3 linked regions of the Ovis aries genome follow. The protein of the gene in region 3 interacts with the protein of the main gene of each other region in a pairwise test. Links are inferred from orthologs where the notes say so. Each region holds a gene or a part of one and is shown on either strand. Other genes may lie near its edges. The genes, in order: PLOD3, TRAPPC6A and RAB3IP.

The links.
Region 1: the proteins of RAB3IP (region 3) and PLOD3 interact in binary tests that used the Homo sapiens proteins (3 or more experiments, as listed by UniProt). The link is inferred for Ovis aries from reciprocal best matches to the Homo sapiens genes RAB3IP and PLOD3.
Region 2: the proteins of RAB3IP (region 3) and TRAPPC6A interact in binary tests that used the Homo sapiens proteins (3 or more experiments, as listed by UniProt). The two-hybrid records come from large-scale screens. The link is inferred for Ovis aries from reciprocal best matches to the Homo sapiens genes RAB3IP and TRAPPC6A.

The regions. Positions count from the first base shown.
Region 1 is NC_056077.1:35,921,457-35,926,215, reverse strand, and holds the end of PLOD3 (multifunctional procollagen lysine hydroxylase and glycosyltransferase LH3), read right to left. Parts: coding exon 4,703-4,759; intron 4,614-4,702; coding exon 4,500-4,613; intron 4,313-4,499; coding exon 4,244-4,312; intron 3,728-4,243; coding exon 3,623-3,727; intron 3,107-3,622; coding exon 2,960-3,106; intron 2,528-2,959; coding exon 2,402-2,527; intron 2,058-2,401; coding exon 1,902-2,057; 3' UTR 1,612-1,901; downstream 1-1,611. UniProt on the Homo sapiens protein: Multifunctional enzyme that catalyzes a series of essential post-translational modifications on Lys residues in procollagen. Plays a redundant role in catalyzing the formation of hydroxylysine residues in -Xaa-Lys-Gly- sequences in collagens.
Region 2 is NC_056067.1:52,606,398-52,611,935, forward strand, and holds the end of TRAPPC6A (trafficking protein particle complex subunit 6A), read right to left. Parts: intron 3,763-5,538; coding exon 3,695-3,762; intron 3,534-3,694; coding exon 3,416-3,533; intron 2,920-3,415; coding exon 2,836-2,919; intron 2,668-2,835; coding exon 2,574-2,667; intron 1,763-2,573; coding exon 1,731-1,762; 3' UTR 1,464-1,730; downstream 1-1,463. UniProt on the Homo sapiens protein: May play a role in vesicular transport during the biogenesis of melanosomes.
Region 3 is NC_056056.1:149,971,975-149,977,512, forward strand, and holds part of RAB3IP (rab-3A-interacting protein), read right to left. Parts: intron 2,277-5,538; 5' UTR 2,252-2,276; coding exon 2,001-2,251; intron 1,176-2,000; coding exon 917-1,175; intron 1-916. UniProt on the Homo sapiens protein: Guanine nucleotide exchange factor (GEF) which may activate RAB8A and RAB8B. Promotes the exchange of GDP to GTP, converting inactive GDP-bound Rab proteins into their active GTP-bound form.

The sequences.
Region 1 (4,759 bases), on a different chromosome or scaffold from region 3:
GTCCAGAGGAGCCAGGGGTTGAGCTGCATGGGCTTAGTTTCTCTGTGGCATGTGGGATCTTAGTTCTCCGACCAGGGATCGAACCAGCATCCCCTGCATTGTAAGGTGGATTCTTAACTACTGGACCACCAGGGAAGTCCTGAGCCACGTTAAATGTCACTTCTTTTACGGAAGTCTGACACGCAACTGTCAGAAGCCTCTGTCACGCATCACATTCTCTCCTGGCACAGAATACTTTCTCTCCATCACCATGATTTTTAACGTGGACCATTTTTACGGTCCTCATTGAATTTGTTACAATGTTGCTTTTATTGTTTACATTCTGCTTTTTTGACCATAAGGCATGTGGGATCCTAGCTCCCCAGTCCGGGATCAAAGCCACACCCACTGCATTGGAAGGCAAAGTCTTAACCACTGGACCACCAGGCAAGTCTCCCATCATGGCAATTTTCTGATCAAAGTCTCCCACACACCGTGAGCAACAGAAAAATTGTGCTCATCACTGCAGCCGTCAAGATGGGTGCCCAGCGCATGGGAGACGCTCTGTGAATGAAGGGTGGAGACAGGATAGGCTTAGGCTGACACACCCTTTCTGCCCCTGTCCTTGGCCTCACACCTATGCAGCTTCACTGACCAGGGACCTTCTGTTAAGAGGGATATTTCCTCCTATCCCTGCTCAGCCCACTCGCATCACAGGGCAAGTGATGAGGGTGGTGGGGGCCTGGGTGAGATGAACTTTAGAGTCTAGCCAGAGAGACGCTCAGTCCACGTGGGAAGGTGACCCACCCAGGGGTCCAGGAAGGATGGAAGGATGGTTTCATGCATGAAGTTTTCCTGGGAATCTGGGTAGGAGGAAGGAAGGACAATTTAGCTGTGGATGCAAGTGGACTGTTAGAAGCTGGAAATGTCCTAGGACAGGTGCTTGATTTTTAAAAGGCGTCCGCCAGGGAACATTGGGAGATCAACACAGGAAGGCAGCTGGTGTAAGGCTGGGGAGGACCAGGCTAAAGGGGCCTGCTCTGCTGTCCTCAGGGTACCTCCAGGGGTCTCTGCAAGCTTTTGATGCTTGAGACTAGAGGCAAAACCAGCTCTAGGAGGTCTTTTTTTTTTTTTCAAGGCTGCTTCCCTTCCCCTTCTTCCAGGAAGCTTTCTTGGGTTCACCCTCCAGATTCCCCTCTCCTGATACCATGTGACTAAAAGCTGAGGTCCAAGCGCTCTCAATAAGTTTCCACCCTGTCTTCCCTCCTACAATGCGTGTCCCAGCACTATCCCTGGACCCTAGCTCAGGGCTGTGCCTCTCTCATCCTTTCTGCATGGGAGAAGATGCCATCAGGTGAGGAGAGAATAGGGGACGACAGTTTGGGGGCTGTGCGGGAGTGGGGGCCTCTCATCTCATCCTGACAGGGGAAGTCCTTCTCTGGGTCTGGCCTCCAACACACCCCTCCCGAGCTCTGGAATGACAAGGAAGCTTCTAGATTCCCACTCTGCTCTAATATCACGTTTCTGTCATTTCTCCTTTTCAGTTCTCCTTTGGGGTCACCCTCGGTGTCCCCTCTGCCCTGGGTGGTGGGATGGACAAGGGGTCCACAGGTAATGAAACAATAAATGGGCTCAAGAATTACAAACCCTCCTTTATTGAGAGGGAGACTGAGAAACAATAATTTATCATGTAGCGAACCCCCAGAGGTCCTGTCCCCATGAGCCCTTGGGGACCGGGGAACAGGACAGGGGGCTCCCTGAGCTTCCTGAGGGCCGTGTGGTGGGCAGCGAGGCGACACATTCAGTCCCAGGCACACAGACCCCATATACCCAGGAGGCGAGGAGTCCACACCCACCCCGCCCCAGGAGGCAGGGCGCGGGAAGGCACGATGGCACGGAAGGCTGGGCAGAGTGGCTGAGTGTCAGGGGTCGACAAAGGACACCATGATGTAGCGGGTGCCCCGAGTGGTGGGCAGCCCCTCATGGTAGTGGGTGAGACGGCCCGGGTGCAGGAGCCCCCAGCCCTTCCTGGGGGACGAGATCACACAGTCGTAGCGCAGGAAGCGGCATCCACCTCCCTGGAGAGACGAGAGGGGAAGGGGCTGGAGAGTGCGCAGACGTGGGGACTGGGTGGTGAGCTGCCCCGAGGCGAGAGAGGCCAAACTGGGCATCAGGGAGGGAGGGGACAAGAGGGGTGAGCATCGGCAGATGGGGGACACAGGACACAGGGGGTAGCCAGCCCAGAAGGGGTCCAGAATATGACCCCAGAGGTCACTGGGAGATGTGACGAGGGCAGACAAGGGGCAGGGAGGTGACCGTGCCTGTGAGGGGGCTGGACACAGGGCCTGGGGGAGGGGAGTGCGTGTGTGTCTGTGTGTGTGGAGGGGCCCGGGGGAACCCTGAGTGGAGGGTAGGGACTCACCTCATAATCCAGGCCCTTGTGGTTGAGGGCGACATTGAGGGTGAAGGTGGATGAGTCGTGATGCGGCCGCAGAGAGGGCTGCTCATCCGGTCGGTAGCGGACCACGAAGTTCATCACCGCCCGGGTCTGCGGGCACAGGGGAGGAGAGGCTGGGGGGATGGCCGGGAGGGTTCTCACTGCTCCCTGGGGGCTGCTCCCCCAGAGCTTCCCTCCTGCAAGGTCTCACTCTGTGTGTTTGACTCTTTGCGACCCCATGGACTGCAGCCTGCCAGGCTCCTCTGTCCATGGGATTCTCCAGACAAGAACACTGGAGTGGGCTGCCGTGCTCGCCTCCAGGGGATCTTCCCGACCCAGGGATCCACCCGACCCAGGGATCCACCCAGGTCTCCTGCATCACAAGCGGCTTCTTTACCATCTGAGCCACCAGGGGAGCCCGGATCTCACTCTATGGGGCCTATTTAAATGTTTCACAGGCCAAAAGGCATTGTGTGGAGCCGTCCAGCCAGCACAGGTGTGGGAAGGCGGAGGAGGGAGCAGGGGTGGCGTGCAGTGGCCCACCTTGGTGTGGTAGCCGGGGAACAGGCTCTCGGTCATGGGTCCCACATACGTCCTCAGGAGCTGTAGCCACTGGTCCTCGTAGCCCACCTGTTTCATGTGGATGTCCACAGTGGGCACGTTCTCGTAGCCTCCCGCCAGCCTAGAGTCCTGTGGGTACAGAGCTGACGCAGTGGTGCCAACTTCTCCTCCTCTTGCTCCCAGGCCTTGGAAGTCTGCGCTCCCTCCTTCTGGAAGTCTCCGCCACGTCTTAGCTGACTCACACCTCCTTCCTCTAAGTCTCAGCGAAGATGTCACCTCTTCTGTGAAGCCCTCGGTCCCCCCGCATCTGGGTCAAGTTTCCCACCTGTGACTCCCGCAGCACTGAGGCTGTCCATCACAGACTTCAGAAGCTAGCTCCCTGCTGCTACTGACGGCAGGTGGGGCTGTGGAGGGCAGAGCTCCACCTGCACGTCCAGGTCAGGGGCTGGTGTCTAAGGACCTGCCCAGGGAGTATTTCTTGAATGCACGGTGGAATGAAAGAATACAGAGGTGCCCCCTGTCTGCCTTTTCCTGCTCGGGGACCCCCTCTCTGTTCCCACTCTCCAGATTCCATTTTCCCTCAATCAGGGAAATGCCCCCTCCCTCCTCCTGGGGGCCCCCTCCTCCGCGGTCCAGGCCCCTCACCTCATGCCGGCCTCCTGACCACTGGCCGTAGTGTTCCATTTCCTCCACCAGCTCATCGCACATTTGCTCAGACAGGAGAGGAAACCAGTACACGTCTGGGCAGGGCTGAGTCAGGACGGGGCAGGGGAAGAAGAAAACAGGGCTGGGTGATGCTCCAGAAGGGGACAGGCAGCCAGTGGGAGGAGACAGAAAGCAGGGAGCAGAAAGGTAAGCCAGGACAGGAGAGAACGTGGAGGGACGGGCAGCTGAGCGTGGGGATGGGCTGGTCGGGGGAGTCAGGAAGGGGACCGATGCGGCCAGAGAAGGTGAGAGCAGTGCTCAGAACTCGGCACAGACAGCACGGTTGCTGGAGCCCTGGGTTCTGGGACAGTGGTTTTCAACCTCGTTTTAAAAAATGTCATTTCACCCATACACCAACACACCCAACGGACAAGGGAGGACCACTGGGATGAATGTTGGGCTGGGGGCTGCATGCCTATCAACTCAGCCCTTGCCTTTGTCTTGCCTGAGCAGAAAACCCCCAGGCACCTGGGCAAGGACCCTGGGAGAACCCCTCATCCAGGTGGTGGGCCCCAGGGGCAGCGGCCATCCCCTTGGGCCGGGGTCCTGAGCGGGGCTCACCTGTTCCACGAGCCCCTCCCCTTCCAGGGCCCGACTGTAGTTCTCGTGAATATACTGCTCCTTCCAGTCCTAGGGGAGAGTGGGGGGGTGCTCCTTGACCTTTGCCCTCTTCACACCACTTGCTCCCACCTGGGAGGACCCCTGCCCAGGCGGCAGGCGACCCTGCCCAGTGCGCACGCGCGTGTGATGGGGCCGGGGCGTGGCATTCCCCTTCAGGGAAGGCCCGAACCATCTGAGCCAGGGGCTGCCGACTCACCAGGGGGTTGTCAAAGATCTGCCAGAGGTCAGGGTGCAGGTGGTCCGTGTCATACCGGGAGGTGGCCAGGAGGCGGCCAAATTCATGCTGATTGCTGAGGTGGAGGAAGATGCCCTGGCAGTGGGCAGAGGGTGTAAGGAGGGCGATGGGGAGCCAGCGTGCTGCCCCCCAGCGCCCCCACCAGGAGCCCCAGGCCCCCTCACCTTGTCCCGAAGGCTCTTACAGAAGGCCATGTCTGGGTCGGTGTCGCTGCCCGAGAA
Region 2 (5,538 bases), on a different chromosome or scaffold from region 3:
CCGAGCCGGGCTTTGCAGGCAGCGTTTTGTGCCCGGTAGTGAAGGCGCCTTGCAGATATTCTTGGGGGGTGGGGGTGGGGAGGAGGCATCTTAGATACCTTGGAAGGGGGCCCCTCTGCTCTCCAGGGTCCCGTCTCCCTGGGGTGATGCCACCAGCAGAGGCTCCCCCAGGAGGTGGGGGAGGCAACCCCCAAGCAGCGCCCGGGACGAGAGAGGACACCGACTGGCGCGCAGTGACCAGACGCCACCCCCTGCAGCCCAGCTATGTCTCCTTCCCTTTTCGCCAGGCCTCCCAGCAGCTTCTTCCTCCCCATCCTCCACCAGCTCAGGACTCTACCCCTGTCCTGAGCAAGGAGGCCAGGCTGGCGTGTCGGAGTCAGGGGTGGGAGGGTCTCTGGGGGCTCCTTCTGGACTGCCACTGGGCTTCCTGAGGGCAGGGCTGGCCCTGGGTCTTTCCCCCGCTCCCTCACCCCTGCCCGCCTGCCTGCAGAGTTTAGCTGAGTGACCGAGATTCATCTAGGACTCATCCTGGACAGTGCCAGCCCCCAGCCAGGGACCCACGGGGAAGCGCAAGTGAGCAGCTGCTGCAGGGGATTTGGTGGGGAGCGGAGGCTGCAGGCTGCCGGAGTAGGAGTCTGGGGAGGGGGCCAGGCAGGAAAGGCCTGTGCTAAGGCTCAGAGGCAACCCGGGGACTGCGGGGCTCGGCTGTGTGTGCTGGGGAGGGGGCTGCATACGATGTCTGCACCAGACGCTATGCAGGCAGAGGAGCCCCAGCCCCTGGGGGGGTCTTAGGCAAGGGGACCCCTCCTCCTCCCATGCGGGTCAATCCCAGCCTCAGGTTACAGCTCTGAGGCCGAGGTACTTACCCACCTCAGGCAGCGAGTGGCAGAGCCCGGCAGAGTCCAAATGGGTGATGCCCCCAGATGCTATGAATGTAAACACGGGAGGTGGTGGCAGGGGGTGGGGTGTGGGCACGGAGGCTGAACTGCCCAGAGACTAGTCAGCGGCGCCATTGTTCTGGGTATGACTCGTATCCGCCAGGCACGTTAAGCGTGTATTCGATAGAGTGTGTGTGTGTGTTAGGGGAGTGGAGGGTGTCTGGCCCACCCACTCACCTATCCTTGTTCCTGGCGGCCCCCCCAGGCCAGCCCACACCTGGCAGCAACTCCAGGGGCCAATGGCCTTGCTCCCAGGGAGAGGTCCGTTCTTTGGACCCCGCTGAGCAGAGAGCAGCCCCAGACTTGTCCATGCTGGCAAGGCTGCCTGTGCTGGGGGCCATCCTCCCCTGCCAGGTATGTGGGGCGGGAGGCGGCCAGCCACAGGGACTCGGCGGGGAGGAAGGGACTCGGCGGGGAGGAAGCCCCACGGGGTACCTCCACACTGGGCCCGTGACACACAGTCGCTTTGCCCCTGCCCCCAGCACCTCCCCCCCGCCACCGCCCCGCTTTCCACTCTGAGTCTGGTTCCACTTACAGAACCTTTATTGAGCGCCTGCCCTGTGGAGGGACATGTGTGGTGCAGACCCCCTCCACACCGGCCCTGAATGCCTTGGGGACCACCTGGCCCCCGGGACACCCCCACCTCCCTCTGACACCCATCTCTTGGGCATCTGTGACACCCTGCAGTGCGGGGACCCCGTCTCCCCAGCACCAGCCCCCAGCACAGGCAGCAGCGGGGTTCTCTGGGCCAGGGTGCTGTGAAGCTCGTCTGGGAGTGGGACCTGGGGCTCCTCAAGGTTTCTGGATCACCACCTGGAATTTACCTGGAAGAGAAGGGCTGGCCTGAGCTCGAGGCTGGGGCCGGAGGGGAGAGGTGGCACCCCAGCTGCTCTGAGCCGTTCACCCGGGCCCAGTGCCCTCAGCCTGGGTGGCCCTGGTTGGACCTCATTGCCTCGCTGGCCTGAGATGATGGTGCCCTAGCCCCACCCCTGGCCTGTGCCCCAGGGCTGTGTGGGTGGCTGGGGGCACGAAGGGCAGGCAGCAGGTCAGGCACGTAGGTTGTCGGGGAGGGACCTGGCCCAGTTTCAGTGGCACATGTGGCTCAGATCCTGCCGGCTTGGGCCCCAGTCCCCTATGATGTGTGGCCCTGGGGACTGGCAGAGGGGAAGACGCCCGAGGGAAGGGTGCGTGGAGGGCTGGTCGCAGGCAGCCCCCAGGGAAGGGTGGGGCCTCGGCTTGTCCTTTGGCGGGCACTGTGGGCCAGCAGGGCCCCGGGGTCAGGAGGACACCCCCTCACACTGGCTGCCTTTGGAGCTCCTCAGCCCAGCACCGCCCACCCCACCATCCCCAGGTGACTCCTATTGTGTCCACCTGGGTTCTTGCACTGGGAAGAGTGTTGGAAAACACTAGCCCAGGTCCTTGTCGTCGGCTGTCCCCGCCAGGCTGGCACGCCCAGGGAAGCAGTCTAGGAGGACATCGGGGGCAGGGCCGTGGATGGGCTGCACCTCCTGTGTGGCCTGGGCCTGGGACTTCAGCTCTCTGGGCCATAGATTCCCATCTGCAGTGGGGCTGGGCGGCCCGGCCCCACCTCCACGGCCCCTGGGAGCAGGGGGGATCCCCCCCACCCCAACTCACAGGCGGGCAGGGCTGCCACGGAGGCGGTGACCAGGCTCTTGACTCCCAGGGTGCTGAGGGTGCCACGCAGGAGGCCGCAGGTGAAGGCCAGGAACTAGGGGCGGGGCACACAGGTCACCGTGGGCAGAGCAGGGGGAGGCCAACACCCCGGGGCCACGTGGGCTTGAGCGTTCACAGCGGGGTGGAATGGGTCCGCCTCCCTCTCCCAGGGTCCTGGGCTTGGGAAGAGGCCTCTGCCCCAGGCTGGAATCACGCCCGGTACCTTGGGTGCTTCCTCCAGGTACTGTAGACCCGAGGCCATCCGGACGAGGAGGGGAAAGCTGTTGTCCTGCAGGACGTAGGTCCCCTGGGGACAGAGGAGGGTCCCAGGGAGCCGATGTGGCACCTGTACCTTCCTGGTGGGGGCAGGGAGGGGAGGCAAGGGCCCAGCACCGCCACCCTGAGGTCCGGAAGGACCCTTCCCACAAAATGGCTGTGGTCGGTCTTGGGCCGTCCTTCGAGGCTATATGAGGACCCGTGGACCCTCCGACCAGGGCCTGGTGTCCTCCCCTCCACGCCCCTGCTGCACGATTTCCAGGGTGCCCGGTGGGGAGAAGATACAGCCCAGGCCATCAGGCCACCAGCCAGGCCCAGCGTGGGTGCCTAATGGGAACGAGGCTCGGGTGCAGACAAGCCGCGTCAGGCCGAGGCACAGCCGCAAGCCGCGAGGGGCCTGTCCTGGGGGGCCTTGTGGGGAGGCCCCGAGGGGAGCTGAGCCTGCTGTGACTGCCCTGAGCCTGGGTCCCCTCCCTGGGTTCCCGGGGCTCCGGCCTCTGCCCGCTGTCTGCCCGGGGGGCACACACCTGGTGGTTGGTGCGGAGGCTATCCATCTGCTTGTGGAACACGGCCACCCACAGGTCTTTGCACAGGAACTTGAGGATGTCCAGCTCTTCCCTGAAGGCTAGCGTTTCCCGGGGCAGCCTGGGGGGGGAGCAGCAGCAGACACTGTGGGGGCCAGGCTGGGGGAGCCCCGGGGTGAGGAACAGGGAGGAGACTGGCTTGGGATCCTGTCTGGATCGAGGCACCCTCCCCACCCATTTGCCCAGGAAGGGAGCCCACTGCAGGTCCTGCCCGCCTCTCACCTCTCGCCCAGGGCCTGGCCCACACGGAAGCCCATGCCCTCCAGGACCAACAAGCTGGTCTTCTGTCCCTAGAAGGCCAAGGAAGGGAGGCTCAGGGGCCCTCGGCCACCTCCAGCCGGGAGCCAGCCGGTATAGCAGCTGAGGGGGGCTTGTGTGTCCCTGCTGGTGCAGGGAGACAAGACCCAGGATAGAGGGCTTCCTGAGTGGCAGGCTGGATCCACAGACCGCACCGGCCCTCAGGCTCCGCTCGCCCTCACTCCGGGAAACACGGGGGTCCTGCCTAGGCTCAGCCTCACCTGTTGTCTTTCCTTGCAACTCCCATCACTTCCTGAGTGTACTTTCAGCGTCCGTCCTTAAACGCCCTGTGGGGTAGCACTCCCGTCACCCCAGAAACTCAAGGTGACTTGCCCTGGGGCTCATATGGCGAGCAAGGGGGCTGCAGTGGAGGGGCCACAGGGGTGGGCCCCCGGATGGGCCAGCAGGCGGATGAAACGTCAACTGTGATTATGAGGCCTTAAATATGAGCCGAGACTCCTGGGAGGGACCCGCAGGGGCTCAGGGGAGGCAGGGGTGGCCAAGTGGCCTTCCGGGGGGCCGGGCCAGGCCAGGGTCCCGCGGTGGGGGTGCTGAGGCGTGGGGACTGAGCGGCAGGAGGCCGCACTTGGTGTCTGTCCAGGTGTCCTGGAGCGTGGCTGGAGGAGAGCCGACCTGTGTATGTGGCCCATCTGTGTGACCCGGAGAGCGCTGAGCAGCAGAAATGCCAAGACGGAGTCAGGGGGGCCAGGCACACACCGGGGGGCGTGTGAGGAACATGCTGAATGAGCCGAGTGAGGAATCGGGACCTGGGCCTACGCTGTGCCAGCTGCCTTGTGCAGACCCCTTGTTTAACAGCCCCATAAGGTAGGTTGTGTTTCACATCTGGAGACCGGGGCACAGAGGGGTTAGGTCAGACCTCCCAGAGGCACCTTCGGACCTGAGCAGGTCCGGCTCCTGCATGTAGGTGGCTGACGGGCAGGCGACCAGGGCAACACTCGCAGCTGTCCGTGCCCCAGGGAAGTGGCAAGGGCTGACGTCGGCTGAGGGGAGGTGCCAGGAGTGGGTGGGGAGCCGGAGCAGAGGTGCCTCGCGTGATGGCCCCCTCCTCTGCTGGGCCACGTGACACCCAGACCCTGGCCCACCATTCTGCCTTCCTCCTGTGGGAACCGGGTCTGGGGAAGGACACAGCTTCCTGCCCGTGACACCGGCGTGTGCTCTCTGCTGTCCTCCGGCACGGCAGGGCTGGCCTCGGGGGGGGCAGGCTGACTCGATGACTAAGGTGTTCGAGGTCTGAGCTCGGGTGTGAGGGGCAGTGAGGGGAACACATGCCTGGTGGCTGGGTACAGGGTCCGGATCCTTACCAGCTGTGGGCCTGGGGCAGTGGCCAGCTGCCCTGTGCCTCAGTGTCGTCCCGTGTAAAACAAGGACCTTCCCAGGGCCCTCGTGAGGATTAAAGGAGTGGATAAGTGCGAGCCAAGCACCCCGAGTCGGGCTGGGGAAGTGGTACTGTCGCCATTTGCAGCCTCTGCACCTGTCAGCCTGCTGATGAGCTGGGGATGGTGAAAGGAAAGGGAAAGCCCACAAAGGAGGGGCTCTGTTCTGTGGGCGGGCGAGTCTCAGCACCTGGTTCCCTGCCCAGCCCTCGCCAGGCCTCTGCTGCTCTTACATCACCTCCCTGCTCAGGGGAACTCCTGGAGGGGGCCGGACGGGGCTCCGCTTTGACCCAGCGCACCTGTGTTCCCAGGACACCCCCATTCATCCTGCGGTCACTTCCTAGCTCCCGTCCAGAGCTCGCACACCGTGCCTAG
Region 3 (5,538 bases):
ATTTCACCTTAGTGTGAAATCCATATACGTAGAGCTGCTTGTATTATTTCTTTACTACTTTTAACATCTGCAGGGTCTGTAGTGATATCCCCTATTTCATTCTTGCTATTGTGTCTTCTATTCTTGTTTTTTTTTTTGGTCTTGTTAGAGGCTTGTCAATTTTATTGATCTTTTTAAAGAACCAGCCTTTGTTTTGTTCATTTTCTCTACTTTTTATGTTACCAATTTCATTGTTTCTGCTTTTTATTATTTTCTTCCTTCTGCTTGCTTCTGGTTTTATTTTGCTCATCTTTTTCTAGTTTCTTAAAGTGGGAGACTAGATTGTTGATTTGAAACTTTTCCTTTTCTCTAATGTATAAATACTTAGCGCTACAAATGTCCCTTTAAAGTTTAATTACAGACTCAGAAAAAGAAAGAAATTTAGTCACAAATTTGGGAATATCAGAAATGTAAAAGATGAGCAAGTGAGAAATAGAACAAATTATGAAAAAAGACAAATCTCCAAGTTAAGATACAGAAAACATTCAAATTTAGCTGAATTATTACTAAAACTATTCCTCAAAATATAATGACTTGGATCTAATGGCTTCAAGTAAATAATCACAAAATCAACCACGTGTAGAGAGGAAAAAAATCCACACACAGAATGTAGCTCCCCAAATCTGCACTACAGAAAATGCAAGAGAAGGAAAGGGGGGAAAAAGAATTAGAGTCTCTTTTCTTCCATTCGTATTCTTGGATGAGCTTCTTTACTATTGAGACCAGTTCCCAGATTCCTAAATGCTGCCCAACAGCAACTGAGACTGCGCATATGCAAAGGAAAAGTGTAGAACTATAATTTCACTTGAGTTGCCCCCATGGACAAATATTCATTTTCAATGTAACATATAGAAGAATAAAATATATTTTTGCTTACCCTCTGAGCTTTTGCAAGTTCTTCTTTTAATCTTTCATAGCCCTTTTCTCTAACTTCCAAAACAGATGGGCTTCGTAAGCGGGACAGACTATCAGTACTCAACCCAAAAATATCATCACTGCCATCACAAGCTTCTGTTATAGTAGCACCCTGTAAAAACTCCCTCTCTGCACTACAGTTGTCCTTTCTTGTAGTTAGTTTAAGTAACCCAGCTGTGACTCCAGAGGTAGAACAAGGTGCTGGATCTGTACCATGGACGCTGTAAAGGAGAGTTCAAACAAACATCAGCAAGTGCTCAAGTATTAACTGGCATAAACACACATGCCTGTAACTCCATTATCCAATTTGTTCACCACCAGAACTAATTAATAGTATGTCCAGACCCAAAGCAACAACATTTCAAGTCCTTCATAGCCATCATAGCCACAGAGAATATTTTCATCATGCCAGAAAGTTCTATTCGATAGTGAAACTCTAGAACAGGGGTCTGCAAACTAAATGCAGAATCAATCCAGCCTGCCACCTGTTCCCTGAAGGCCCACAAGCCAAAACTGATTTTTACATTTTCAAATGCTTGAAAATAATCAAAATAGTAATATTTTGTGGCTCAAGAAAATTATATAAAATCCAAAATTCAAGGTTCACATACAAAGTTTTACTGGCGCTTATCCATTTACATACTGCCTATGACTACTTTTGGAGAAGGAAATGGCAACCCACTCCAGTATTCTTGCCTGGAAAATCCCATGGATGGAGGAGCCTGGCAGGCTACAGTCCACAAGGTTTCAAAGAGTCGGACACGACTGAGCGACTTCACTTTTATGACTACTTTTACACCTTAGTAGTCATGTCCAGCAGTCAAAACAGAGACTGTGTAGCCCACAAAGCCTAAAATATTTGCTATTTGGCCCTTTACATAAAAAGTCTGCGACCCCTGCTCTTAATCATTAACATGTATTACTCTTCATAAACAACCTTATATTATTCAAATTTTCTAAAATAATAAAACTTAAAATAAGTTAACCAAGCAAAATTCATTTGTTTAATACAATGCTCTAAAACAAGCATCTTGATTCTCTCCTACCTGCCACTGGATATTTCAGCACAATTTAAACGTCTTGGGGAGGAATACACAGGTTGTGTAGGAAGGTCAGAAACATCTAAGGCATTAGCCTGGATAGGGGTGGAGCACAAAGCTGAAGGATGCGGCCGGTAGATGACGCTAGGTGAGGTAGTCTGCTCTTGAGTTCCTGGTTCATACACAGCAAGGAGGTCTGGAGAAGTAGGTGAAGCAAGGTTCACTTCATGGAAGCCTTCCAAGGGGTCATTAGCCATAGCAAAAGCCTCATCATAGAACCACCTACATTAAAAAGCAGAAAAATATTTTGAGATACTGACATTTAAAATTAAAGTAAGATGTATATTTATAGAATGTGTTTAACAATCCATTATAAAATATAAAATTAAACAGGAAAAAAACTACAGTGATTTAAAATTTAATAAGTGACCTCAGAGTATAAATACTATAAAAGGAAAATGATCTGATTCAAAATAAACTTGAAAGTGATGGATAACACTGTTACAGTAAGTAATTTAATAAGTAACAATGAGGAATGAATAAAAATTTGCTTGATATTAACTTTGCTATCATATGTGTCTTTGGTTAGAAAAAGAAGCAGCAGTAAAGACAGACAGATACACACACTCGGAGTAAGAGAGATGAGGTTCAATGAACTATTCTGTTCCGCTTCAAAGAAAGTCACACGTGACTGGATGACTCAGTGTTTTCTCTTCTTTTATTCTGAAATAATTTCAGATTTACAAAAAGTTGCAGATATATATATATATATATTTCACCCACATTATGAAACTGTTAACATTTTAGAACCATTTGAGAATAGATTTTACACATGATAAGCATTACCTCTTAACATCTCAGTGTCTATATCCTAAGTAACACATCACCAAAATCAAGATGTCATTAACACTAATCACTATTACCATCTAAACAACAGGCCCCAATCAAAGTTCACTGATTATCCTAATAATGTTCCCAATAGGCCCAGGATAATGCATTACATTTCTCTAAGCCTTAAATCTGAGGGCTGAGAGGAGATACTCCATGTTCAAGGTCAGGAGGGGCGGCGGTGAGGAGATACCCCTCATCCAAGATAAGAGAAACCCAAGTAAGACGGTAGGTGTTGCAAGAGGGCATCAGAGGGCAGACACACTGAAACCACACTCACAGAAAACTAGTTAATCTAATCACACCAGGACCACAGCCTTGTCAAAATCAATGAAACTAAGCCATGCCCTGTGGGGCCACCCAACGGGCAGGTCATGGTGCAGAAGTCTGAGAATGTGGTCCACTGGAGAAGGGAAAGGCAAACCACTTCAGTATTCTTGCCTTGAGAACTCCATGAACAGTATAAAAAGGCAAAATGATACAATACTGAAAGAGGAACTCCCCAGGTCAGCAGGTCCCCAATATGCTGCTGTAGACAAATGGAGAAATAACTCCAGAAAGAATGAAGGGATGGAGCCAAAGAAAAAACAATACCCAGCTGTGGATGTGACTGGTGATAGAAGCAAGGTCTGATGCTGTAAAGAGCAACAATACCCAGCTGTGGATGTGACTGGTGATAGAAGCAAGGTCTGATGCTGTAAAGAGCAATACTGCATAGGAACCTGGAATGTTAGGTCCATGAATCAAGGCAAATTGGAAGTGGTCAAACAGGAGATGGCAAGAGTGAACATCAACATTCTAGGAATCAGCGAACTAAAATGGACTGGACTGGGTGAATTTAACTCAGATGACCATTATATCTACTACCGTGGGCAGGAATCCCTTAGAAGAAATGGAGTAGCCATCATGGTCAACAAAAGAGTCTGAAATGCAGTACTTGGATACAATCTCAAAAACGAATGATCTCTGTTCATTTCCAAGGCAAACCATTCAATATCACAGGAATCCAAGTCTATGCCCCAACCAGTAACATTGAAGAAGCTGAAGTTGAACCATTCTATGAAGACCTACAAGACCTTTTAGAACTAACACCCACAAAAGATGTCCTTTTCATTGTAAGGGAGTAGAATGCAAAAGTAGGAAGTCAAGAAACACCTGGAGTAACAGGCAAATTTGGCCTTGGAATATAGAATGAAGCAGGGCAAAGGCTAATAGAATTTTGCGAAGAGAATGCACTGGTCATAGCAAACACCCTCTTCCAACAACACAAGAGAAGACTCTACATGTGGACATCACCAGACGGTCAACAGCGAAATCAGACTGATTATATTCTTTGCAGCCAAAGATGGAGAAGCTCTATACAGTCAGCAAAAACAAGACAAGGGGCTGACTGTGGCTCAGAACATGAACTCCTTATGGACAAATTCAGACTTAAATTGACGAAAGTAGGGAAAACCACTAAACCATTCAGGTATGACCTAAATCAAATCCCTTATGACTATACAGTGGAAGTGAGAAATAGATTTCAGGGGCTAGATCCGATAGACAGAGCGCCTAATGAACTATGGACTGAGGTTCGTGACATTGTACAGGAGACAGGGATCAAGACCATCTCCAAGAAAAAGAAATGCAAAAAAGCAAAATGGCTCTCTGAGGAGGCCTTACAAATAGCTGTGAAAAGAAGAGAAGTGAAAAGCAAAGGAGAAAAGGAAAGACATAAGCATCTGAATGCAGAGTTCCAAAGAATAGCAAGAAAAGATAAGAAAGCCTTCATCAGCAATCAATGCAAAGAAATAGAGGAAAACAACAGAATGGGAAACACTAGCGATCTCTTCAAAAAAATCAGACATACCAAGGGAATATTTCATGCAAAGATGGGCTCGACAAAGGACAGAAATGGTAAGGACTGAACAGAAGCAGAAGATATTAAGAAATGGCAAGAATACACAGAAGAACTGTACAAAAAAGATCTTCATGACCAAGATAATCATGACAGTGTGATCACTTGCCTAGAGCCAGACATCCTGGCATGTGAAGTCAAGTGGGCCTTAGAAAGCATCACTACGAACAAAGCTAGTGGAGGTGATGGAATTCCAGTTGAGCTATTTCAAAGCCTCAAAGATGATGCTGTGAAAGTGCTGCACTAAATATCCCAGCAAATTTGGAAAACTCAGCAGTGGCAGCAGGACCCGAAAAGGTCAGTTTTCATTCCAATCCCAAAGAAAGGCAATGCCAAAGAATGCTCAAACTACCGCACAATTGCACTTATTTCACATGCTAGTAAAGTCATGCTTAAAGTTCTCCAAGCCAGGCTTCAGCAGTACGTGAACCGTGAACTTCCTGATGTTCAAGCTGGTTTTAGAAAAGACAGAGGAACCAGAGATCAAATTGCCAACATCTGATGGATCATGGAAAAAGGAAGAGAGTTCCAGAAAAACATCTATCTCTGCTTTATTGACTATGCCAAAGCCTTTGACTGTGTGGATCACAATAAGCTGTGGAAAATTCTGAAAGAGATGAGAATACAAGACCATCTGACCTGCCTCTTGAGAATCCTGTATGCAGGTCAGGAAGCAACAGTCAGAACTGGACATGGAACAACAGACTGGTTTCAAATAGGAAAAGGAGTATGTCAAGGCTGTATATTGTCATCCCG